Struthio camelus: one gene and its partner. The protein of the gene in region 1 interacts with the protein of each later gene in a biochemical or structural test. Links are inferred from orthologs where the notes say so. Each region holds a gene or a part of one and is shown in the gene's direction. Other genes may lie near its edges.

Region 1 (11,860 bases):
CGGCTCCGCCCGCACTCGGCCGCCACCCGCAGCAGCGGCCCCGCTCCCGCCGCCGCCATCTTCGGCCGCGCCACGTGACCCCCGCTTCCGGCCGCCCCGCCGGAAGCGGCCGTCGCCAGGGGCAACGCGGCCGCCATGTTGAGGCTTCAGCCTCGGCCCTAGGCCTTCATGGCCGGGGGGAGGGGGGAGCGATGTGCTTTCTCATCGCCCTGCTTTGTTCTCCTACATCCCTTGTGGAGAGCTCCCTCCTCTTCCCCCTGCTATAATCTCCCCTATCCCGTGAGGGGACCCCCCCCCGTGTCACTGAGGGAGAGTCCCCTCCTCATCCCCCTGCCACGATCCCCCATATCCCCTGAGGGGACCCCCCCCGTGTCACCCAGGGAGAGCCTCCTCCTCACCCCCCTGCCACGATCCCCCATATCCCCCAGGGGAGAGCCCCCTCCTCACCCCCCTGCCACGATCCCCCATATCCCCCAGGGGAGAGCCCCCTCCTCACCCCCCTGCCACGATCCCCCATATCCCCCAGGGGAGAGCCCCTTCCTCACCCCCCTGCCACGATCCCCCATATCCCCCATGGAGAGCCCCCTCCTCACCCCCCTGCCACGATCCCCCATATCCCCCAGGGGAGAGCCCCCTCCTCACCCCCCTGCCACGATCCCCCATATCCCCCAGGGGAGAGCCCCTTCCTCACCCCCCTGCCACGATCCCCCATATCCCCCATGGAGAGCCCCCTCCTCACCCCCCTGCCACGATCCCCCATATCCCCCAGGGGAGAGCCCCCTCCTCACCCCCCTGCCACGATCCCCCATATCCCCCAGGGGAGAGCCCCCTCCTCACCCCCCTGCCACGATCCCCCATATCCTGCGAGGGGACACCCCGTGGCCCCCATGGAGATCCCTGTCCTCTGCTCCCCTGCCCAGCCCCATATCCCCCATGGAGATCCCCTTCCTCACCCCCCTGCCCAGCCCCATATCCCCCGGGAGACCCCCTCCTCTGCCCCCCCACTCCCAGCCTCTCCACATCCCCGTGGGTAACCTTCCCTCCTCCCCCGGTTTTGCCTCCGCGCCCCCCACCCCAGAAGCGCTGGGACAACCCCCATCCCGGCACCCGCGTGGCAGCGGCAACCCCGGAGCGGGGCGTCCCCGGCAGAGCCGGTCCCCGCGTGTTTGGGGTCTCCCCGGCTGCAGAGACCCGCCTGCCCCCCTCGCCGCCCGCGGCCCAGACCGGCTTTCGCTGCGGCCCTGGCCTCGGCCGCAGCTCCCCAGGGCCTGACCGAGGCGCTCGCCCTTGGCCGTCCCCCATCGCTGGTGCCAGCGAGAGCGGGGCGGCCTCGCGGGGGGAAGCCGGTGCCTTGCCCGGCCTCAGTTTCCCCTCATGCAATGTAAGAGGAGCTCTGCCCTTCCTCCGAGCGCACCCAGGATTTCTCACCATAACCTTGAAATAACCTTGCCTGGAGGGCTACCTAGCCCCAAACACTCGGAGCAGGTACTAGCTTAGAGAGTTATGCATCAGCAGCCAGGCACTTGAGCCGGGTCCTGAAGGGGGGGGATATTAAGGCCAGGTAAGGGCCAGGTGCCCCCCATCAGGTCGTCTGAGGGTAGCGTGGGTATAAAAGGAGGATTAGCTGCTGGGGAACAGCTATGAGGGAGCATGTGGGGAGCCTGAGCTGTGGGAATGGTCCCTGTTTTGGTATAAATCACTGTTCCTGTTTCTTTAGATTGGCAGAACATCATTTCCCCCCTAAATAGCTTTTAGTGTGAAAGAGGAGCGCGTCCTGGATTGGTGCGTGGGACCCGGTCGGTCTGAAGTAAGTAACGTCCCTTGGGAAGGGTACTGGTTCAGCAAGGGGCTGGGGCGCCAGCTCCCAAAACTGCCGTAGTTTATTTAAGGGGAGCCTGGTGGAAAGCTTGTCGAGGCTGGGCTGTCGCAGGGGGCTCTGCCTACCCATGTCAGACCTCCTTTGGAGGTGCGGGACCTCCATTAAACACCTGGTGGTAAGGGGGAATGGGGGCTTTCTCCCTAAAGCAAGGAGGTATGTGCCTGAAAACGCAGAGAGGTGACATCCAAGGGGCTCAGAGGAAGCTTTTCCCTTGTGCTCCAACTTCAACAGCTGTTAGTCTTGCTTGTGGGGTGGTCCTATATAGCAGCAGTATCCTGTTACAAATAAGAGTTTTGCATTTAAAATGCTAAATGGAAAAAGCCTTCAGAAATGACCCAAAAAACCTTCCTCCTCCCTAGTTAGCAGGGTGCCGGTGGGGACTCTGGCCGGGGCCAGGCGCAGACCCGGCGCGCACCGTGCCGAGGCGTCCCGCACCTTTCCCGGCGGTGCCGGGTGAGCCCCGGCCGAGAGCCGCCCGGCTGATTCCCGCGCGTCTCCGCGAAAGCGGCCCCGTGCCTGCGCTCTGCGGCCCAATTCGGCCTCAGCTGCGTGGATGCGCCGTGCCCAGCGCGGCTGCGCCCGAGCCCGCTTCTGCGGGGCGCTCCGGCTGGGGCGGGCCGAGGGATGCTGCAGCCGCGGACGGAGAGCCCGGCCCTGCTGCGGGCACGCTGCCGGCAGCCCTGCCCTGGAGCCCCTCTTTGCCCGGGGTGGGCTGGCGGGGGCACGGATGTCCTGCCGATGCACGTGTCGGAGCAGCCGGCAGCTCATCCCGGCCCTCCTGGGGCGGGGGGGAACCGCACAACTGTGCGATGAGCTTGTTTCCAGCGTTAACTAGCTGGATGAAGGATGAGCGCTTAGAGAAATTGAGCCGTGCGACAGCCTGGCTTGGATCGAGCTCCAGCTTTCCCTCCTCTGGGCTCTTGCAGAACAAGTCTCTCCCAGAGCTGTGTCACCTCTGCGAGCAGAGCCTGAAGCGGTCTGGCCTGCTCGCAGCTGATCCGTGTGCCCCTCCATCTGCTCTTCCTCCAGAAATAAGGCAAGGGTTTTCTCAGAAATCTGCCGCTGGAAATCTGGTAACAGGCTTGCTTAATGCAGCAAGGGATTTAATTAGTTTTTCCCAGAGAGAAGGAGAGGAAGGGGAAATAGTGAGCAGCTGCTGGCATCTCCGTCTGCAGCCTCCCGTGCTGCCCCTCCCTCCTCATCGCTGGGGACTGAAAGCTGTGCTTGTGGCTTGGTGCATCTGCAGAAAGCGGTGCCAACAAATCCAACCTGTCTCCTCTGCTTCGTTGCCTCTTCTTTCCTCTCCTCCTCTAGGAACAGAGTGTTCCTTGCTCCGGTGGGGCAGCTCTCTTGTGTCCAAGCGAAATGGCTGAGCCCAGATTATGGTAACGCGAGCGGGTTCGAATAACCCGCTTCCGTGGAGCGCAAACGGGCTCCCTCAGGTGAGCGGGGAAACGGATCTCCCCTGCCTCCGGCCCGCCGCAGCCATCCGGCTCCACGCGCGTGGCCGGAGAGGGGCCCTGCCCCGCGGGAGGGAGCAGGGCAGCGCCGGCCAGCTCGCCGGGCACCCTCGGGTCTGACCTTGGCTAGCGAGCGACGGGCAGCCTGCCAGAGCCCCCGGGACGCGCGGGTGGCGGCTCTGCCGGGGGCGAAACCGGACCGAGGATTGATCCCGCCGCTGCTGTAAATGGCTGGGACGGGGGGCTGCTGCCTGGAGGAGGCCGCAGCTCCCCTGGCTGGATGGGGGCTCTGGGGGCCGTAAACGACACGGCGTTGAGTCCGAACGGCTCTTATTTCTCCGCAGAGGGATGATGGTGCAGTTTCAGCGAGGCTGCCTGATCTCTCCAGCGAGAGGAGAGCCTTGTGGGTGCAGCCGGGCTGGCACCAGGGCATATGGTGCCGTTCGCAGCCCTGGGACAAAGGCCTCGTGGTTTGGGGATGAGTCCAGCTTGCAGCCTGTGGTGTACGAAATGGAGCTGGAGGAGGAATGGTTCTCTGGGCATCCCTGTTTCCCCCCCCCCCCCCCCCCAATTCCTTATGGCTAGGATATATAGCCAAGATGTGTCCAAAATTTGCAGCATCCCTCCCTGGCCCACCTGACATGGTGGAGAGCCAGCATCTGCAACGGGTGCAGCCTTGCTGGCTTCGGAAGAGCGCCCACGGCCTGGGATGCGGCTGCGACCGGGCTGTAGAGCTGGGTAGCCAGGATGGCAGCCCCTCACCCCCAGGAATGGGGCTGCATCCCTGTCCGACGCCGCGCAGACCTCCTCGCGGGCTGGCTGGGATGGCTCCGGCCGAGCCCAGCGCTGAAGTGACCAGCAACGTGACAGACCCTGTCTTGTCCTTCCCTTCCGCAGCTGGAAGATGAACACGGTGCACGACGCGCGGACCGAGGCGCGGGAGCGGCCGAACCGGCGGACGGTGGACCAGCTGAGCCCGGAGCTCCGCGTGGAGAAGTACATCCTGCTGAGCATGGATGGGAAGCTGCTGGGACCGGAGCTGAGCCGGATCCGGAGCGGTAGGGCCGCGAGGTGCTTGGAGGAGGGAGGATTGCCCTTAGAAAGAGGGATACACCCTGCTAGTGTCCAGCTGGTTCTCACTGAATCCCTGCTGGTCTGTGCTGGGGAAGGTAACAGGGGCAGATAGCCCTCCCAATCCAGCCTGGAGGAGGTGCCGGCCCGCTGGACTCAGCTTTCTCAGGGTGTTCTGGTCCCACCTGGATTTCGGAGGCCTCTATTGCTGGTCCTGGCATCCTGAAATCCAGGTGCTGGGGCTCAGCTGCTGCCCTGGGGATGCCCAAAGGCATTTGCAGTGTGGAAAGGGGTTTTTCTGCTCCCCAAGTCTGACATGAGCATCAAGACGCACAGCAAGACGCAGTGGGGTGGAGGCTCACGGTGCCTTTGCCCTCCCTGCCGCAGAGATGGCCCTGCCCCTGGAGCGCCTGGATGCTGACCTGCCCCAGGACCTGCCCGCGGGCTACCTCTGGCGCCAGCGCCGCTCGCTGCCCACCTTCCCCCTCGCCCCGGGGAGCGGCCCCCAGAGCCCCGCGGACCTCAGGTACATGGCGCCAGGACGGAGAGCGCCGGTGCTCCCCGCCGGCTCGTGCCGGGGGCCACCTCGGCCAACTGCGCCGCCGTCTGCCGCGCTGCCTCCTGCGAGGGCTTGGAGCCTCCTGGCACTGGGACTCGTCGTAACCTATGCCCGATGCCCCGTTCGCGGTGGGGCAGGCGAGGGGTGCTCAGCCCATCCTTCTTTTCCAGGAGAAGCTCGGACCTGCTCTGCGCCGGCCAGTTCCCCGCAGGGCTCAGCGACCTGGTGACGGGCATGCAGGCCCCTGCCTCGCCGTGCCCCCGGAGCCGTGGCAGCCCGCGGGCCCGTCCCCGCTCCTCCCTGGCAGCGCAGGCCTCCCGCGGACCTCCCGCCACGGCGGAGGATGCTGCGGGGAAGGAAGGTGGCAGGGAGTGAGGGGCGTCCGAGCCCTCGGGCCAGCTGTCCCCAGCGGGTGCTGGTAAGGAGGTGCCGTGGCGGGGCTGTGATGGGAGGATGGTGCAAAATAAAGACTCTGAATGTGACCCCAGGCTGGTGTGTTGGTGCCAGAGAGGACTCTGAGCGTGGCCCGAGGTGGCTGCGCTGGGGGGTGACGGTCCCCAGGGGAGGGGGGTTCCCCTGGCCCCAGTGCAGCCTCCGGCCCTCGCCTCGGAGACATGCGGTAGCAAGACATGGGCTTCTACACGGGGACGTACGGTAGGGGATCTCCAAACGTCATTGGGCTGTGCCCGGGAAGGGAGAAAGCGGCAGAGCATCAATGGGGCTCGTGATTGACGGCTGGCTGGCGAATCATGAGCGGCTTTTCGTCAGGGAGTACCCGCCCTGGGTTGGTCAGTCTGGTAGACTGGCAGAGGAGCTGTCCAATGACAAGGGCGTATGGGAGGGGTGAACAAGCTAGTTTCCTTCGGGAAGCGATTCGCTAGCTTCCCGGAGTGGCAGTCCTCTCTACCAATAGAATGGCAGGAACAAAGTCTTGGGGCGGGAGCTGCCGCTGTGCCGTCTCAGCTGACAGGCCAGCTCCACCTCCCATTGGCTGGTAGGAACGAGCGACGCGTTGGGAAACCAATGAAAAGGGAGAGGTGGGGCGTGGCGACCCGCTCCCGCCTTCCCTCTTGAGTGACAGCGAAGAGCTCCGCTCCGCTCGGCCGGCTGCTCTGACTGACGGCTCAGGCTCCCAATGGCGGCGCCGGCTGAGGGGCGCGGGGCGGGCCCGGCTGAGCGGCGCCTCCGGGGGTGTCGCCAGTGCCGGATGAGGAGACTCGGAGGGGAAGTTTGGTCGCCGCCGCCGCCGCGGACTGTGTAAGGAGGAGCCGCCGCCGCCGCCGGGAGAGCGGGGCCCTCCGCGCCGCCATGGGGAACCGGGGCATGGAGGAGCTGATCCCGCTGGTGAACAAGCTGCAGGACGCGTTCAGCTCCATCGGGCAGAGCTGCCACCTCGACCTGCCGCAGATCGCCGTGGTGGGCGGGCAGAGCGCGGGCAAGAGCTCCGTGCTCGAGAACTTCGTGGGCCGGTGAGTCCCGCCGCGCCGCGCCGGGGAGGGGCGGGCGCCGCGTACGCAAACTGCGTAGCCGCCCGCCCGCCCGCCGCCGCCGCGCGGCGCAGCTGGCGTAAGCGCGCTTGGTGAATCCCGCCTGCGTAAGGCGGCTCGAGGCGGGCGGGGGCGCGAGCGCCGCCGTAGCAGCCCCCCCTCCCCCCCCCGCCCCGTGCCCGGCCACCGCTACGCAAACTGCGGATCATCCCGGCAGCCCGGCCCTGTGCTACGCACTTGGCGTAAGGCGCGGCCCAGGGGAGCGGGTCACAGGCCGGCCCTTACGCCAGCGGCGCAGGCGGGGGCTCGGGCCGTGGCGGGCGCGCGCGGCGCTGGCGCAGGGGAGCTCTGTGAATAGCGGGGGGCTCCGCCAGTCCCGGGCCTCTGTCGCCGTCGCCTGCCCGGTGCGGCCCGGCCCGGGCCCGGGAGCAGAGCGGAGCGGGGTCCCCGGGCTGGGGATGCGCGGTAACACCGGGGGGAGGTGCAGGGGTGTGGAGGGGCTGCGCTGGGCCCCGCCCGGGGACCAGGACCCCCCCAAAACACACACAACAGGCCCTACCTGGACCCCCCCCCCACTAGGCCCAGGACTCCCCACTAGGCCCTGCCTGGTGCCCCCCCCACAGGGCCCTGCCTAGGCCCCCGGGACCCTCACCAGCCCCTGCTGACTCAGTAGCCGTGCGTCCCCCCCCCCCCCCCCCCAACCCCGTCCGCCTCCCTGAGGCCTGGGGCAGCCCGTCCCCGGAGCTCAGCAGCGCGGGATGCCGCGAGCGCGGCCGCCGCAGCCTTCCCGCCGAGCGGTGCCAGGGCCTCGCCGGCTCGTCCTGACGGCCGTCAGCATCCTTGAGTTCCTGCGCGGGTGCCCGGAAGGCGCTCCAGAAACGCTGGGCTGACCTGCGGAGTGCAAATGTGTAAAGCGGAGACAGGGGAAGCCCAGGCTTGATCAGAAACAACCGGCACGGCATCCCGTTGCGATGCTTGACAAGAGACCTGACAGCGTTAGAGCATGGTCTTGCTCCGGTTTATAATTTTCAACATGACTGTGTTAACTTACAAAGGTTAATGCTGAGTTGCATCCTAAAGACGCTTCTGTTTCCACTCTGATAGCCTTAGGCCTGGAGTCATCGCTGCACCTGGGTTTGGGCGGCTTTCGTGTTTGGTGCCGTTCAGCTGTGTGCCCTTGTGATAGGGCTGAGCTCTCTGCCAGGCCTCTCCCAGGAGCGGAGGGGTGTCAGGACCCTGCTGTAGAGCCGGTCGGAATTGGCAGGATAAGGGATTGACACGCGGCCTGGGATGCGCTAGGGTGGGGAGGAGAGCGTGGCTGTCGAGATAACGTGGGGGAGCCGAACGCTCCTGATTTTATATTGCGCTAAGGCTGTGGGGTTTAAAAATCTTTCCGTGTGCTTCATATGACCCTGCTGACTCTTTCAAAATCCGTGGTAGCTGCTAACAACTTCCGCTTCTGAATCGAAGCGCTGAGAGCGGAGGGTAGAAGTCAGTCCTTCGGCCTTCTCCACCTTTTGTCTCTGCCGTTCTGGGGATGGCGGCGCCGGTCCTGCAATTCATAGCGCAGCGCAGGGCTGAGAGCTGGCGGCACTCAATGCTGCTCCGTTCCTGCGTGCACTTGTTCCACGCTCGGGGTAAAGGATGTTGCTTGACCCCTTCTGCTTTGTTCCTGTGCTCCGCTTTGGCTTGATCTAGGCTTGCAAGCTCGCTGTAGCGCGGGCTGCTTCTCGCCGTGCCTAAAAAATTCATTGCACAACGGGGCTCCAGTCGAGGCTGGGGCGGATGCCGTAATAGCAACAATAGCAGATTTCCGGTGATGTCATTTCATCCTGACACTGGCCGGCAGGAGCGTGCACGGATCTGCTTCTCCGTTGACAACACAACAGCGACTCGGCCCTGCTCTGCCGTCGGGTCTGACGTAACGGGATACCGTCCTATTTCCACACAGCCGACCAAGTGTCTTTTCCAGCGCTTTAGATTTGTTGGCTTCGTGGTCGCTGTGGCTTCCTTTATCGGTAGAGAAGGGATCTTTTGAAAGGCCTGCGTGAGTTTTCTCCACTGTTGTGCTTTCCGCAGTTCAAATTTCGGCTTACTTAACATTTTCCTAGAGGTGAGGTCAGGATCCGGAGCCTGCTCTGTGATGCATCACCTGACACAATTTGCCTTTTCTTTTATACTCACAGGGGTTTAATTCATAGCATGGATTTGCAGCCTGCAAAGCAATTGAGGATGCCTTTTGAGCCCGTTGTTGTTCGTGTGGGAGGGAGAGGAGGAGTCAGCTGGACCAGGGCAGGTCTAACTTTGCCAGACTAAACTTGCATCTGGGCCGATGAGTTCTGCCAAGTCTCTTTGCAGTTGGGGTTGAAACGGTCAAGTTGTTACCCCTCATAAATAGCTGCCAGTGGAAGTTTTGGCAGCCTCTAATTATGGTGCTGCTGGAAAACCAGCCTAGTAATTAAAAACCTTTGTTTCAGAGCATTTAAGTCTTTGTCAGAAGGCTTTCACTAAGGGGTTAACCGCACTCCACAGACTCCCTTTTCAAAAAGGGTCTGAACGGGAAGGCTTTCCGTGGGACTTGATCTGTGTGATTTTCTCTGTAACCTGGAATATTTCACTTATGTCTCACGGCACTAACTTTGTTCTGCCTTGATGCACTTGGGTTAATAATCAGGTAACTACGTATGCAGTAAATTCTGCCTTTGCTTGGTGTCCCTGCGTTTTCAGCAGTCTTGAACAATCAGCTCGGTCGTCGTCATTGTGTGGTGATAATACCCGCGTGTTAGCATCTGCTTCTCTCGCTCTTTTCTAGCACTGTTCTCTATACGCACCTACTGAAGTGTTTGGGAATAAAATAACGAGGAATACAGATTATAGTTACACACTCTATTATAACAGCTGTGCGCAAAAATTCAGCACGAAGAAGGATTAATAGGCCTGAATTGGCAAACCTGTTGGTAAGATTGCAAATGGTTGAGAGCAGGGACCATCTGCTTATCTGCGCGCAGCACTTGACCCCGTTGGGGTGCCGGCCACGCGCGGTCCCGCATCTCACCCTCGCAGCTGGGTGACGGCTCGACAGCTTTTACTCCGCGCCTGATGGGGGAACGCATCGAGTGTTTCTCATGGATGTACGGCTGGATGTTGACTGGTTTCGTTTGCTGGGCTAGTCTTGTCCTTGAGGCTATTGCAACTGTCAAAATAAACCAGCCGTGCTGCATGAAACTTGCTCTAGATAGCAAGCTAAATACAGCAGGCTTCCGCACGCTGCAAACAGGGCGCTTTGACCGCTTCGGGACAAGCTTCGTTTTATCCACGAGAGGTTTTTTCATGAAGCCGAAGGGGCCGCTTTTAAATGTATGTCTGTATAAATGCATAAACACAGACTGACGTGCCCTTAGCGTTAGGAAGGGAGCAGTACTTAACCAAGGCGGTCTCTGAAACTAATTGTTGCTCTTTGACTAGTGCGTGGTATTTTTAGTACACAAAATGTGATAGAAACGGGAAAACTTCCTGTAAACAGCCTGTAAGGTGTAACCCTCCGTTGGGAAGTTTACAGTAGCAGTGCGATGCAGGTGGTAGAGAAGACCTGTTGGTGATGTGCTCAGTGTCCATGTTTCTCCAAGTTGAAGATGAATAAACAACCCAGAAGAAACAGCTGGATTTTTGAGCTTTTTTGATCTTTCTACCTGCTCTGATTTCCTCCTACCGGAAGTCCCGCTGTGGTGGCTGTCACTGCACTTGAGCTCAAGCTTTGCAAGGGGATGCGAGGAGGCCTTCCACTTCAGTTAATGGTGTTTCCTTCTGAGGAAGCTTCCTGTGAACTTCTGAAAGATTCCTTCCTTTGTGGGGCTGGGGAGGCTGCTGACAGCTGGGTAGAAACAGGAGGTGGATTTTTTTTTTTTGCTTTTTTTTTTTTTTTTGCTGATAACCACCCTTTTGCACTAGTTTAATCTTTATTCTCGGCTTCTTGTTTCTGACCTGGTAAGAAGTCGGAAGGGCTGCTAGATGCCAACATAGGAAGCCGACTCAAGCAGCACTTCACAGCCAGCATCCTGTCTCCAGAAGCAAGCCGTGCCAGATTCGCCGGTGACGTATCTGAGGCCTGCTGCATCTCGTAGCCAAGCCTCGGTTAGCAGGAGGGTAGGTCTGGGGTGGTGTTAAGGAGCAGGCGTTTGGCTGAGCAGTAACGTGGAAGAGGGGATTTCGGCTCTGTTCCGTGTGACCCCCTCACATCCCGGCCTTAGTCTTGTCGTAGGGAGCCCTGGGGAGATCCGCTGCTCCCTCTTCAGAAAAGTAATTTTAGCTGATTGAGTTAAGGGTGGTGATTGGTGAATGCAGCTGAGTGTTGACACTGGATAAGGAGTCAATGGGAGGTTTACATCCTTTCTCCAGAAGGCCCAGGTCAGGTATTTTTCAACTGTTTGAAGAAAGCTTCAGTTGAAATTAACGGACCTTAGTACTGGGACGTTATGACCACGCATACGGTGGTCCCTTCCGGGGCCTAAGTGTACGTGAGAAGGGTTACGAGCCCTGTTCAGACAAGGAAGGGACTTGCTCTGGAGCATACAAAAAGCCTGTGGAGGAGCCAGGAACTGAGTTCAGCTGCCTAAAGTCCACTAAATCTTCTCTGAATTGGATGCTGGACTGAAACGTGTTCGGGGGGGAAGGAATCTGTCTTGCCTTTACATCTGTTTCAGCAGGCATCAACATAATAGTTGGTCTTGATGACTACTGTATGCTTTGTCAGGGGTCTGAAGCGACTTGCTTTTCTCCTCTCTTTTTATTGGGGAAAGCACAAAAGGAAATCTAAAATACTGCATTAAAATTACATTACTGGCTGTATTAAAAGTCATTCTGTTGATGTCCTGATGAAACGTGCATTGACTACCCCATCTTTGGAGCCCTTGTAATGCCAGTACAAGTGTGCTAAATGCTCCGAGTCTCCCCTGGCCCTGCTCTGGCTCTCGGAGCGGCGCGCTGACAAACGGCAGCGTCCAAGACATCGCCGAGCTACATAAAACCCAGCCATTGACTGTGGTGGGCCCGTGGCTGCCGGGCCCGGGGATCACAACGGAGTCATTGTGATCTGCCCGGTTGGGAGGCTCTCCCTTTGACAACGTATTTGAGGGACCAAATGTCAATGGGGCATTATAGTCACTCGTAGTGTGTTATCAATACCCCGAGCGGTTGGAAATAAGACTTGGACTAACCTGGAAGGCTGCAATGGTGAGTTCTTGGTGGCTGAAGGTATCTGAACCCCGGTGAAATGCAGCAAGGGTCAAGCACTGAAGGGACCGTGCTCCCGATCTTTTACCTGCGTCGTGCACAGTCCCTTCTCCTGGTGCGAGGCTGAAACGGGAGCTGTGAAGGGCCTCAGAGACCCCCAAAGGGAGACAAAATG
Region 2 (11,915 bases), on another chromosome or scaffold:
CTCCAGCCTGATGCCACACTGGAAAAACTAAATGAGTTCCTCTGCTTCCCTATGTAAAGTCTCAGAAACCAGAGCAAGGGGGCTCTAACCTTTAATTTGGTTCTGCAGCCTTTTATAAAGTTCCTTCTCAACAGGTCAGGTACTCCGTGAGGATGAATAACTGGACCACCGTCCAGATGTAAAGTAATGCCACAAGCTCTGGGATGGTATCCTGTCCTCCTAGCCATCGTACTACACTACAAATAAGTCTGCAAAGAACAGTTACACCGTTAGTACCATTAGTAACCTGTGTGTTGGAAGGCGATTTAGGTGCAACCCATAGCTCCTTAAAGTTAGTGTGACTTTGTCATAGATGCGCACTTGCCATTAGTTGACATACATGACAGACCATGCTCCTCTTCTGTTACTCTACTTGAGATTGTGGTCTCCGGGCACTGTGGCTGGCAGAGGCCTCCCACAGGACAGGAAAAGCTGGAAATAAGGCCCAGGCAGCCAGCACTCCTCACGGACAGAGTCAGTAGTGGTAAGGCTCAGTAGTTCTGATGGTATGTCGCTTTTGCTAAAGCTAGCAAAGAGCAACATGGAAACAGTGCACTTAGTGGCAGGAAATCGAAATACTCTTTAATATTCTTTTTACGAAACTATATTCATTTTTCAGAAAAGCTAAGTTTAAAACCTATTGACATCACAGTCATTGTATCAAAATGTAAATGAATATAATGTGTTACTGTAAAATCCAGATGCGAAACATCTAAAGTGTATGACACATATGCATGCACAAGTATCCTAGGTCAGATACAAGCACATATAATAAACTAACCATCAGTGTACAGGCCATGAAAGTCCTTTGGGGTAGTCAGGCCAAAAAGGACTGCAAAAAGGGAGGACAGTAAGAATAACATTAGTGTCCGGTGTTTCAGGAAGTCTATTTAGTTCCTTGCAGAAGAAGCCATAATTTTAATATCATTGCTTTCAAAGCTTGTGCTGGTAAGAAAATAATACTTATTACTGATTTTTCTGCTATTAAGGCAGAAAAAGAATAAAATATAGAAGTGGTCAAAACATTTGTTATGCTTACAGGGACAAAGGGAGAAAAGAAGACATTATGCAACACACTATTAAAATTAGCTGAAGAAATAATAGCTTATCTTGAGGAAGCAAACTCTTTGCTGCTGTAGTTGTGGAGCTCACTGATGAGGATCTGCACTAGGTGTTTAAGCCCACATCGCCTTTTGGAAGTGTGACCAAATTTGCACCAAAACATGAGCTCTGCAATCAGCTCCACAAAAAAGGGAAAAAATACTCTTCCAAACTGGCTACGTCCAAAAGCATACTGCAACAATGTTTTGTCTCTGGTACACCCACACTTTTTTTCTGTGTAGCTTGTTCACATGTTTTCAGTGGTCAGCAGGTTTTTTTTTTTCTGTTTTTAAAGAGAAAATTAAGTCCGGGAGTCCAGCATGACTTAAAACTGTTGGCTTCACAACAATGTGTAAAAAACCATCACCAACAAAGAAAAAAAAAACCCAAACTCCTATCCTCATAGCACTTTTTTCCCCAGCAAAAGAAAATAAGAACATCATTTTCACACACGATAGAAAAATAATATTAGCTGTGTATTTATCAAAAGCGTAACCCTGTCAGATCGGAACTTACTTGGGGAAATTAGCATACAGTATGCCAGAGTTCAGATTAAGTAATAATGGCATTTGATCATGAGCTCTAAGGACACAAAGCGCTTCAGGGAAAAGCAAACACATTGTAAGCACAGTTTTTTCTCATAATTGCTTATTCAGAGACAAATATCTGGGAATGAAAAACTGAGAGCTATTTGGCTGCAATTCGGGGTGCAATTTTTTTCTAGAGCAGTTTTCATGGACGAGGGAAGTCTGGACTTAACACCCTCTGGTATCTCAAGACTGGCTGGCTTTCCAGTTTGATAGTGATCTCACATGTCCTATGACACTAGGTACAGAGTCAGATTTGAGAGTGTGTCTGTCATCTCTTGAGCATGATTTTACACTGCCATATAAAGTTCTGCCTAAATGAGAGGCTTTAGTACTTTGATGCAAATACCAAATGATTCAAAGTCTTTTGGGGCAAAAGACTCCCAATGTATAATAAAGACAAAGATTCACATTTTTCCTTGGAACGTGTTTCAGTAAATATATTTTTCATGAAGAATTTGCAAGTGATGCCCTATTATACACAGAGATGTGCAAACATGCTTCATCAGCTGCTCCACCGCTGCTCTGTGCAAACAACATTAGGTTTCATGCATGTGATAGCACCTACAGTTTTCTGTCCAATTTGTGGGGTGAGAGGGGAGGAAGTAATATTTGTATACTGCTCTTTGCAAACTTCTCAGAAGCACCAAAGAAATAGCGTTAACCCAGCTCCAAAATAGACTTGCCTGGTTAGTGGCAGGGAAATCAGCCACGACAGTAGAAGAACCTCTGAGGGGACAGGTAGATGAAACCGTACATACATGCGCGTTTTGCGTTTTGCAAATGAGGAACACATTACTGTTATGTGTTGATTTATTAAGTTAAACAATTTGTTTAAAATGCTTTGAAAATCTGAGATCTCTGCTCTTTTTTAAAACAAGAGGTGTATCATGCAGTTAAGGCAACCACGACGATCAAAAACTGGCGTAAAAAAAGCTTAAACTATTTTTGTAATTACTCCCTAGGCACTGTTAGCCTTTGCTGATCAATTAGCAGTGTTGAACTACACAGCTGAATTTACTTTTGTTATTATGTTTTTTCTATTCTTGAGGTAAAAACATGCAATGTGGAACTGATGTTATTGCAGAACTTTTAGCACATATCCCACGTCACATCAATAGCCTTCAACCCTTTCAATCAGAAAAAAAAAACCCACAAGAAGCCCCCTGTTTTTCATTTCATAAAATACCTTTGAAAATAAAGAACTAGGACAATACACTCTCAGCGCGTCTCCTGAAAAGACTTTAGGATTACACGTGTTTGCCGGACCACTCCATTTGCGAAGTTGTTGCCACTTATTTCACTGAACATAATGAAATCGTCCCAGATGGTCCCTCTGTGGCCGCGGTAAATTCCTCAGTGTCACTGGTTGTTTTTGAGGTCACCCCTCTGCACCAGGCTGGCAATGCTGAGGGCAGAGCCTGCTAGCAGGGAGCACTCAAGGGCACACCACCCCACCACGCGCCCAAGGACAGTAGCTTAGGAGCCTGCAACCTCCTTGCAGAAAAGTTCTTTTGTAGGTGTTTTTCAGCTTGGAGGTTATCTGAATATCCTCACTTTTTTTCTTTATCGTTCCCTACAAAGCCTGGGTAACTCAGCACCTGTAGGAACACTGACTTTCACTGGTTACAGGCAGGCCTTGCCCAGCAGAGAACAGTATTTGGGGAATGTTCTCCAAATCCTTTCCCAGAGTCCAGCTTCAACTAAAAAATTTGCAGAGTGCTGTTGACAGGAGCTTTTCATGTGATTAGGCAGCCCTTTCTCTGGAACAGATCACTTCTCACTGAATTCTGCTGAGGCAAGTGCTCCTGGAAATTACTGTAGACAAGTTAACCGAAAAAATATGTATCTAGCAGAAACCTATAAAGAGAATACTAAAAAAAATGTAACTGATGCACCGAGTAAGGGCTTTTCTTCTCTTGTTGATGAGGTTTTTCTAGGATGGAGATTTTTGACTATTAAAGCATCCATTGGAGTTTTAGTAAAAAGTGAATAATGAGGCAACTGTGTTTGAGAGCTGGTAAGCCACGTACACAGCACGCTACTTCCAGCGTACCAAAATACTTAAGAACGTGAACAATCCGGCTGAAGTCAGTGAGATTTCTTACATGTTTAGTGCTAAAAAAAATCTACCCTTAATTGGTTGCAGAAAATTAACGAATTCAGAAAATTTTGGAAATTTTAGGTGACATTCATTTGCAATTCATTGGTATTTGGCTCTTAGTGCTAAGCAATAATAAAGCTTGCAGCTAAGAAGAAATATGTTTCTTTGGCATCCAAAGTGATTACTGAGATTCTGAATCTTTGTAGATGCAAGAACTAACAGCAATTAATTGCAAATAGAATTGGCAAGCACCCATCAAAATAATTTTCCCAGAACATTATTTCTCCCTGAAAGAGATGCTAACGTTTCCTTCATCCCCCAAATGTGTCAAGCAAGACTTATTTTTAGGAGTAACTCACAGAGGAGGATTGTAAATGGAAGATTTTAAGCATATAGAGAGGCCCAATAAATCATGACTTTGTTCCTCATGCCTCAGACGGGCACACAGTGCTCTGTTAAAGCGTACTGGTTGGCAGCTGTAGACTTAAGCTTTTCTGGCAGTTGTTCTGACCACAAGTAAAGAATGATACAGACTCAAGCTTATGCAATAAGCCTCGAGTGCATTATAAATCACATATCAAAACAAGGTGAATGCATATAGGGTGCTTCCTATACCTATCAGCAGGGGATCCCTAAAGAAGACAACACCGAGTCCCTCGGTTCCACACACCTCTATCATTTTCATAAGATTCAAAATTCCTTCAACCACAAACTGGTGTTTCTAGGTGCAGAAAGTCACTGCAGCCTGCTGCCTGTGAGAACTGGTTCTTACCCCAGCTCTGCAGCAGGTCTGGCCACCTTACAGGGGCGAGGGCCTGGGAGCGGTCACGAGCACAAGATCCTGAACATCCACATCACTTAATCGTTACCCACCCAGCTAACTTGGCTTTAAACCATTCCAGCTATCTGTCAGCCAGGCAAATTTGCTGTACAGGGAGCTAACCCTAGGCACTGTGGACATGAGGCAGATACCGCTAATTGGCCCCAGCAGCAGAAAATCAGTCCCAGGCTCTTTTTCCTTTCTAAGCAGAGCAGATGCAGCTATGCTTCCTTTACACTGTGGTACGTGTACATGGTACCTTTGTCTAGGATCTCTATCCCTAAAGCCGATATTCTGAAGAAGGCACAAATCCAAGCAGACGTTAGCAAGTTTTGCTTTTTCTCCTAGAACTCCCTCTTTTTTGGCTCTAGCAACGCCGCAGTACGCTATATTTCTTTCCAACTATGGATAAACCCCTATTTCCTGTGGATTTAGAAAGAAACAGGCTCTTTTATACCCAAGCTTTGAAGCCCCTTTTCCCCTTTTCTTCCTGTTGTTCAGTCAGCCTTTTGTAGGGCTCTTCTCCCACGCCATATAGACACAGAGGAAAGACTATCTCCACCTAACCTGCACCAAGGGCAACAAGCATCTTCACTAGGTCACCAGTGTGACCAAGTTCAAAATGTGCAATGTTGGAAAGCTCATTAGGAAGAAAGTAGAAGGACAGGCTCCATTAATATGCAGACAAAGCAGGGGTTTACAGAGTTTTGCTCAGAAAGAGCTACTAAAATGGATGAAATATGAGTCTGGGAGGGACCGCACAGCAAAACAGATCCTTAACAGAATACCTCAGATTAAATGCACTATCATAGAAGGCCATTCGCGGGTCACCTGCAAGTTTCACTTCAGATATTGCTGTTACAGAGAATAAAAAATTGGAACTGTCGCACGTATTTAACTGAATTCTGAAAAAGTTAAAAACTGAAATAATGGGGTTCCAAAACTTCTCGAATTAATCAGTTCAACCGTGTGAAAAGTAGTGGCTCCTAAACCGCCGGATTCATGTTAATTCCTCATCCTCAGTCTCCACAGAAAGTATTTCACTCATCCTACTTAAAACAAAACCTTTTTTCCAACTTAAAAAAAAGTGTGGATCTGTTTTTCGCTTTTGATAAAGTGGCCTCAGTGGGAAAGTACAGCAAGAGCAGGAGAGAGGTTTGTCGTTTCTGTGGACAAGGAAACATGGCTATACAAGAGTTACGCTACGTCTCAACGGCACACCTGCCTTTTAGGGATCTCTTTGGTGGTCTTAACAATTACGCTCTTTCTTTCTTTTTGCAGAAGTTAAACATCCACCGATCCAAATCAAACACCGCGCGGATACATACCCACAAGACAGCGTAGTCGCAGGCGGTGCTGCACGTACCTCCTCTGAGCGCTGCCGCTGGCTTCCCCCCCCCTTAGCCTCCCATCAGGAGGAATAAATCGAGTGGGACCACAGCTATTTCTTGCCACATGTTGGCGGAGCGTCTCATGGGACCCGCACGGATCCTGAGCAGTTTCTTGATGTTATTTTCTACTCTTAATAACCATCAGGCAGCAAGGCCCAGCTGCCGCAGGAGGCCGCGGATGAAGCGCATCTCCGACAGCCGCCGAGGGAGCTTGGCCGAGGAAAAATTATTCTTTATTTGATACACAGTTGTTCTGAAACCGGCGTTCAAAAGCGACCGAGGGACGACGACTTTCTGTTGACCCTCCTCCGCCCAGACAGCGAAAGGCGGGTGGATTTTCAGCGTCTGAAGCGGCATCTGACAGCGGACGCCGGGGCTAACAACGCCCTGAGGCAGCAGGCTGCCGCACAGGCGGGCGTTAAACCGCCACCCCCGCCGCGCCGGGGGGCGGGGGAGCGGGTCGGCCCGCTACTCGAGGCGGGAATTGGAAGGCAAACGCTGACTAGAAAGAGAAAACGCTGCGGGGCCCGCTACCCGCGGGTGCGTCCGTCCCTTCCTCCCTCCCCGCCTGGCTCGGGCCCTGGCGAGGAGGCCGCGGAGGAGCGGCGGCCGGGCGGTGCCAGCGGGAGCCGGGCGCGGCGGGGGCAGGGCGGCAGGGGGCTGCGGGGAGGGGGCACCGCCGCGCCGATACATTAGCCGCCGCCTGCCCAGCAGCCGGCGCTGCCTGCTGAGCCGCCCAACGGCCCCCAGGCGGCGGCGGTGACGGTGGTGGCGGTGACGACGACGACGGGGGGGGACGCTGAGGAGGAGCTGCCTGCGCGGCCCAGCGGGCGGGCGGGCCGGACACAGCGAGCGAGCAACCGCGGCGGGGAGGGGAGGGGAGGGGAGGAGAGAGCGGAGCGGCGGCCGGGCCGGGCCCGGATCGCACCGCACCGGCAGCGCCATGGCCACCAAGGTGAGCAGCCGGCGGCGCCCCCTGCGCCGAGCAGGCCCCGCGGAGGGGGCTCGGCGGGCGGTGACCCCCTGTGGGGGCGGCGGGAGGCACCGTGTGGGCCACGGCCGCGTTTCGGGGCCCGGAGGGAGGGAAGGAGCGGGGGGTGGGGTGGGGGGGCAGTGCCCTCGCCGCGGGGGCTGGCGGAGGTCCCGCTTCCCCGCCCGGGCCTCGGCCGCCGGGGCAGCGCCAACTCCGGCCAAGGGGGAAAAGTTGCCTTCGGCTGCGTTTCCGCCCGCTGCCCCCCGTCCCTCGGCGGGGCGGCGAGGCCGGCGGCGGCCTGGGAAGGGGCGAGGTGCGGGGCCGGCCTGGCCCTGGCCCTGGCGGCCTCGCACTGCGGGGCGGAGGGAGAGATGTGTAACCCGCCCCCCCTGCGGTGTTGTCGCGTACCTGCCCGACAAAATAAGGTTACCGAAGGGGAGGCCGTAAGTGGTGTTTCCGAGCGGCTGATAAAAAACCTGCTCGGTGGTCATCAGGCACAGGGGCGTGCTGTGGGTGGGTGTTTTTTTTTTTTCTTTCCCCCAGTGGGAGTCTCAAGTCTGTAGTTTGCGACTTGTTAATAATAGGGTCCATTAAAAAAAAAATTGCAGGAAGTGAAATTGTTTTGCTCTGTTCTTCAACAGTGTCTGTTGTTAATGTAGCTATCAAAATTAGTACATCCTATCCGAAACTGATCTCTTTCTAAATTAGCAATATTTATTTACTATATTAGTGGATGAAAGTGGTAAAACTGGCTTGCCTCTGCTTTGTGTAGGTGTGAGTTAACATCCACAAACAAATGTCATCTGTAAGTTGTCTAAATATTGCAGAAAGCTTTCTGGTATTTGAAGTAGTGCTTTCAGATTCGCCTGATTCAATAAACTTGGCCTGTAGTTTAAAAAACTTCCTTTAATAAAAACTGTTCTCGGGCACGACATCATTTATTCATACTGTATTTCTCAGTATTTGGGAAATCCGTATCTTAAATATATTGAACCTCATATATATGTAGCAGTCTCAGTAACCATTGAAGCAGATGGTTATTCATGCTCTAGTAACATTTTTTTTAGAAGCACAGAAGAAAGTGGTTTAGGCTTCAAAATCATTTAGACACTTCAAGAAGTATTAGTATAGTGAACTCTGTGTTCCTGTGTGCTCAGGTTTTAGAATATTGTTAACGGACTCAGTGTTAATATTGGCTGTTTCCACAGAGTTGTGGGGTGTGTGTATGAATAACATGTAAACACATGTAGCTATGGCAGGTAGTAAGAAAAGTTCAATTGCATACTATTATGCACATATATAGAAGTAATGCATATTATCTGCTAAGCATTTGGAATATGATACTGTTTATCATCTAATCTTGAGGACGTGCGGGACTGCTTATTCTGTGCCTAATTAATGAAGTCATTTTATTCATACATTTGGAAACTTGCACTTTGATTTTTCTTGAAATAAACTTTTGGAGTCGTGGCCTCAGAATGATGGGTATGTGAGTTCTGACTTGCTAGCAGTACTTTATTGAAATTAGGTGAGGAAGATGCAAGTATTTGGGTTTTTTTTTTATTCTACACTTTGCAAGTTATGGTAATTTACTTTAACTTGAAGGCTGATGTAAGGAAATGATAGTTAGCAAAGACTTTTTTATTTTGATATACTGATAACAGAGCAGAAGCTGACCTTATTTTCTGTAAGCTTGACCCATAAGGTATGTCACTCTCTGCTAATTATCCTATTCTGGATTTTAATTGGTTAAACTTTTTATAATGTCAGCTGTAAAAAAAAAAAAAAAAAAAAAAAAAAAAATTTTTCCTCCCCTCAACAGTGCAAGGGAGTGACTGACAATAAACAGTGTTTAGGAACTCGGCCAACTAACCAGTTACTATTTCACTCGAAAAATAAGATTTATTTTTTTTTAATTGTAAACAAACTTCCCACCTTCTACTTCCTCTCCTTCCAAAATAGTTTAGTTCTATAAGAAATACACAGTATGTTGGAGTTGCACATAGAACATTAACAAGGCTAAACTATGATTAGTCTCTTGGACTGTGAATTTCTCAAACTTCAGTGGCATTTGAACCTACACACCTGGCAGAGATATCTGGCAATCAGGTCTGCCTGTACTGTGCAGGCTATTAGTATTTCTTGAATTAATTCATGTTTTACCTAGAATATATTTCCAGAGGTGAGGAGGGGTTCAATCTAGATTTGCACTGTTTCAGTAATTGAAAATCCAGCCTGTTTCTTCTTTTTTTAATTAAACCATCAACTCTTTTGCTGTTGACACTTGTTTTACTTTGAAACTGAACTTGCCTAGCTTCTGTTTCCAGTTTTATTATCCTCTTTTCTACTAGCTATAAAAACACTTCTGTCCAATTGTTAGAGTTTTGCTGGGGTGAGAGGGAAAAGACTGGCATTTCTTCCATAGCGCGTTTGTAAGCTCTGATCAGTTTGCTTTCTAGCTCCCACTCTGATAAACTGCACCAACTCAACTCCTTGAGTTTTGCAGTGTGAAGACATGGTAACAGTCTTAAGACTGTGATCTCCTGGCCCTTCCCTATACCATTTAAGCTAATGTGATTTTCTATTGCAATAATGCAAAGTTTTTAGAGGATAAGACTGCTATTTCTATCAAAGAAGGCCTTTGCTAATGCTTTCCTAGATATTTGTTTAACTGCAAAGGAAGCAGTCTTCTGAAATGAGGCAGGGATGATTGCAGGGCTAAATCCTGTGAAGGCTGTGGCTCTGTCTGATATGAGCTGCTCCTTGCCACCACTCCTTCTGCCTTGCTCCTAGTCCTGGACTCTCTGAACTTACTGGGAGTTGACTCCAGTGCTTGTCAGGCCTGTCTCCGAGCTACTGTAGCTTGCTAAAATAGCGTGCACAAAAAAGAGAGGGGGAGGGGGAAAAGGAAAACATCCTAGGTGAAAATGGTGAGACAGTTTCCTCCTGTTTTAGAGAGGAAAAGTGGCTGACACTTTGCTCAGAGCCAACACTAAATCTCTGGCAGGGGAGAAGAGCCTTCGTGGTGGAAGGTGGAAATATAAGGGGAAAATGGGAAAAGGAGAATCCAAGCCTTTTGGTGGCAGTTCTTTGGCTGGCTGCTTGTGTATCTTTACTGTAACTTGGCTGTGGCCTTTCTGTTTCCTTAGAGGCTTACTCAAAGTCACATGCATCAAAAATTGAGCCATGTTTTTTAAAAAAAAAAATCATTGGATTGTTTAGGAGATCCCAGCTTCCAGTGTTTTGAGGAGTGGTAACTTTACTGAGTCTTACTTTACAGGTAGGCAATTGCCAATCCCTGTTTAAGGACAGATGCATCAAGCTGGATACTTTATTTTGGATGCTTCCTTCAGACACATTGACTTTAGCACACTGATTCCTTATTTTAAACTGTGCATAAAAAGAAGGCAAAAAGTGCCCAAGTGTAAAAGTATATAATGATGTTTAAAATTTCCAAACACAGATCAGATTCACGTTCTTAATACTTTTTTTTTCCTCCTACTTCTTGATGACTTTAGCCTTTCCTTGCTCTTCTTTCCTTGCATGAACTTGGGACTTCGCAAACTGTAGCAGATTCTTTTGTTTGAGTTTTGTTGAATAGGGAGAGCTAGAAATGTCAGGAAGTGATATGCTGACTTTGAAATAATGTGCTCTCTACCTCAGGCTATTTTTAGAGGCATTTATTATTTAGTAATATAAGCAATTCTTTTTCTGAATAAGCCTGATGTTTTGCACTTTGAAGTCAAAATTTCAGAAGAGATAACAAGCAAAGCCAGAAGGTGAAGTGCATGCTGATGGTCAAGACTGGTCTTCTGGAACCTGTGCTGCTAGTGTACAGTGAAGGTGTTAATTTAAAAGTTGAAGTTGGGATTAGAAACTGATCCTTCAAACTCTGATTTATAGGAGTAGTAGTGCTGAAGTTAGTGACACTACTTTCACAGGTTGAAGATAAGTGTTGATGAATTCCATGAGGTTAGACCCCTGTTGGTAAGATTATTGAGGCTTTTTGTCCCTCTGTAACCTTGGGCACCTGTACCTCAGTGTTATGTTCTGTATTGTTTAATGCCCTGTCTATTTTAAGAACTCACTTGTTTGATTCTGTTTATAGGACTGGGCCCTTTTTTGTGGGAGGAAGTCCTTTGAGGTGAAAGTTCTTAGAATGAATACCGTGTTCTTAAAAGAAGGTCTAGCTTTGCAAGTATTTTGAATACATGGGGATATGTTGTTGTTGTTCAAGGCTCTTTCGTACATCTAATTGCCCTAAAATATCTCTTAAATGTTGTTACATAGTTGAATTTAGCATGATTGTGCATGATTTAGCATGGTTCCTCAACTGTGTTGAGGAAAGATCATGAAAGTTTGGGGGGGGGGGGGGGGCGGAAGAAATAATGGCACTAAAGAGATTTAAAGATTACTTTTTTCAGGTGTGTATCCTTCCTGTCAGCTTGCTTTCTATTCTGTATTGTTCTTCCCAGTGCAAAGCTCTCTGAAAGAAGTCTCACTCTGAAGCGTTCTCAGTTGTGTCATCATGAAACTGTTTGTATGTCTGCCTTAATCAAGCAGACCCAATTCTCACTGTTCTGATTTGCAGCTGGAAAGTGAGGTGTATCCCTCAATATGCTAAATGTTCCAAAATACCAAACTTCATATTACACAAGTCTGTTTTCTGTACTGTCATCACGTTGAAAGTCAAAAGTCTTTTCTAGGAAGTCATACCTTAAGAAAATATTCAGTTAACAGATCTTAATATATTTGTGAGTTGAAACTTTCCCGTGCAGATCACGTCGTAATCCAGTCTGTGCGTTCCACTGTTAGAAAATACAGCAAATCAAGACTTAACCAACCACAATCTTGTCATTCTTTGTGTTTTGATCTATCACATCCTATGTCTGTAAATCCT

Evidence for each region.
Region 2: the proteins of DNM2 (region 1) and SNX9 form a complex in vitro, tested with the Homo sapiens proteins (2 studies listed by BioGRID and IntAct, with this or other methods). The link is inferred for Struthio camelus from reciprocal best matches to the Homo sapiens genes DNM2 and SNX9.

The regions. Positions count from the first base shown.
Region 1 is NC_090972.1:4,732,997-4,744,856, reverse strand, and holds the start of DNM2 (dynamin-2), read left to right. Parts: upstream 1-6,133; 5' UTR 6,134-6,277; coding exon 6,278-6,438; intron 6,439-11,860. Other genes in the region: QTRT1 (queuine tRNA-ribosyltransferase catalytic subunit 1), read right to left, coding at 1-59; uncharacterized protein, read left to right, coding at 2,689-2,915, 4,237-4,397, 4,798-4,936, 5,140-5,344. UniProt on the Homo sapiens protein: Catalyzes the hydrolysis of GTP and utilizes this energy to mediate vesicle scission at plasma membrane during endocytosis and filament remodeling at many actin structures during organization of the actin cytoskeleton.
Region 2 is NC_090944.1:77,912,118-77,924,032, reverse strand, and holds the start of SNX9 (sorting nexin-9), read left to right. Parts: upstream 1-6,811; 5' UTR 6,812-6,985; coding exon 6,986-6,997; intron 6,998-11,915. UniProt on the Homo sapiens protein: Involved in endocytosis and intracellular vesicle trafficking, both during interphase and at the end of mitosis. Required for efficient progress through mitosis and cytokinesis. Required for normal formation of the cleavage furrow at the end of mitosis.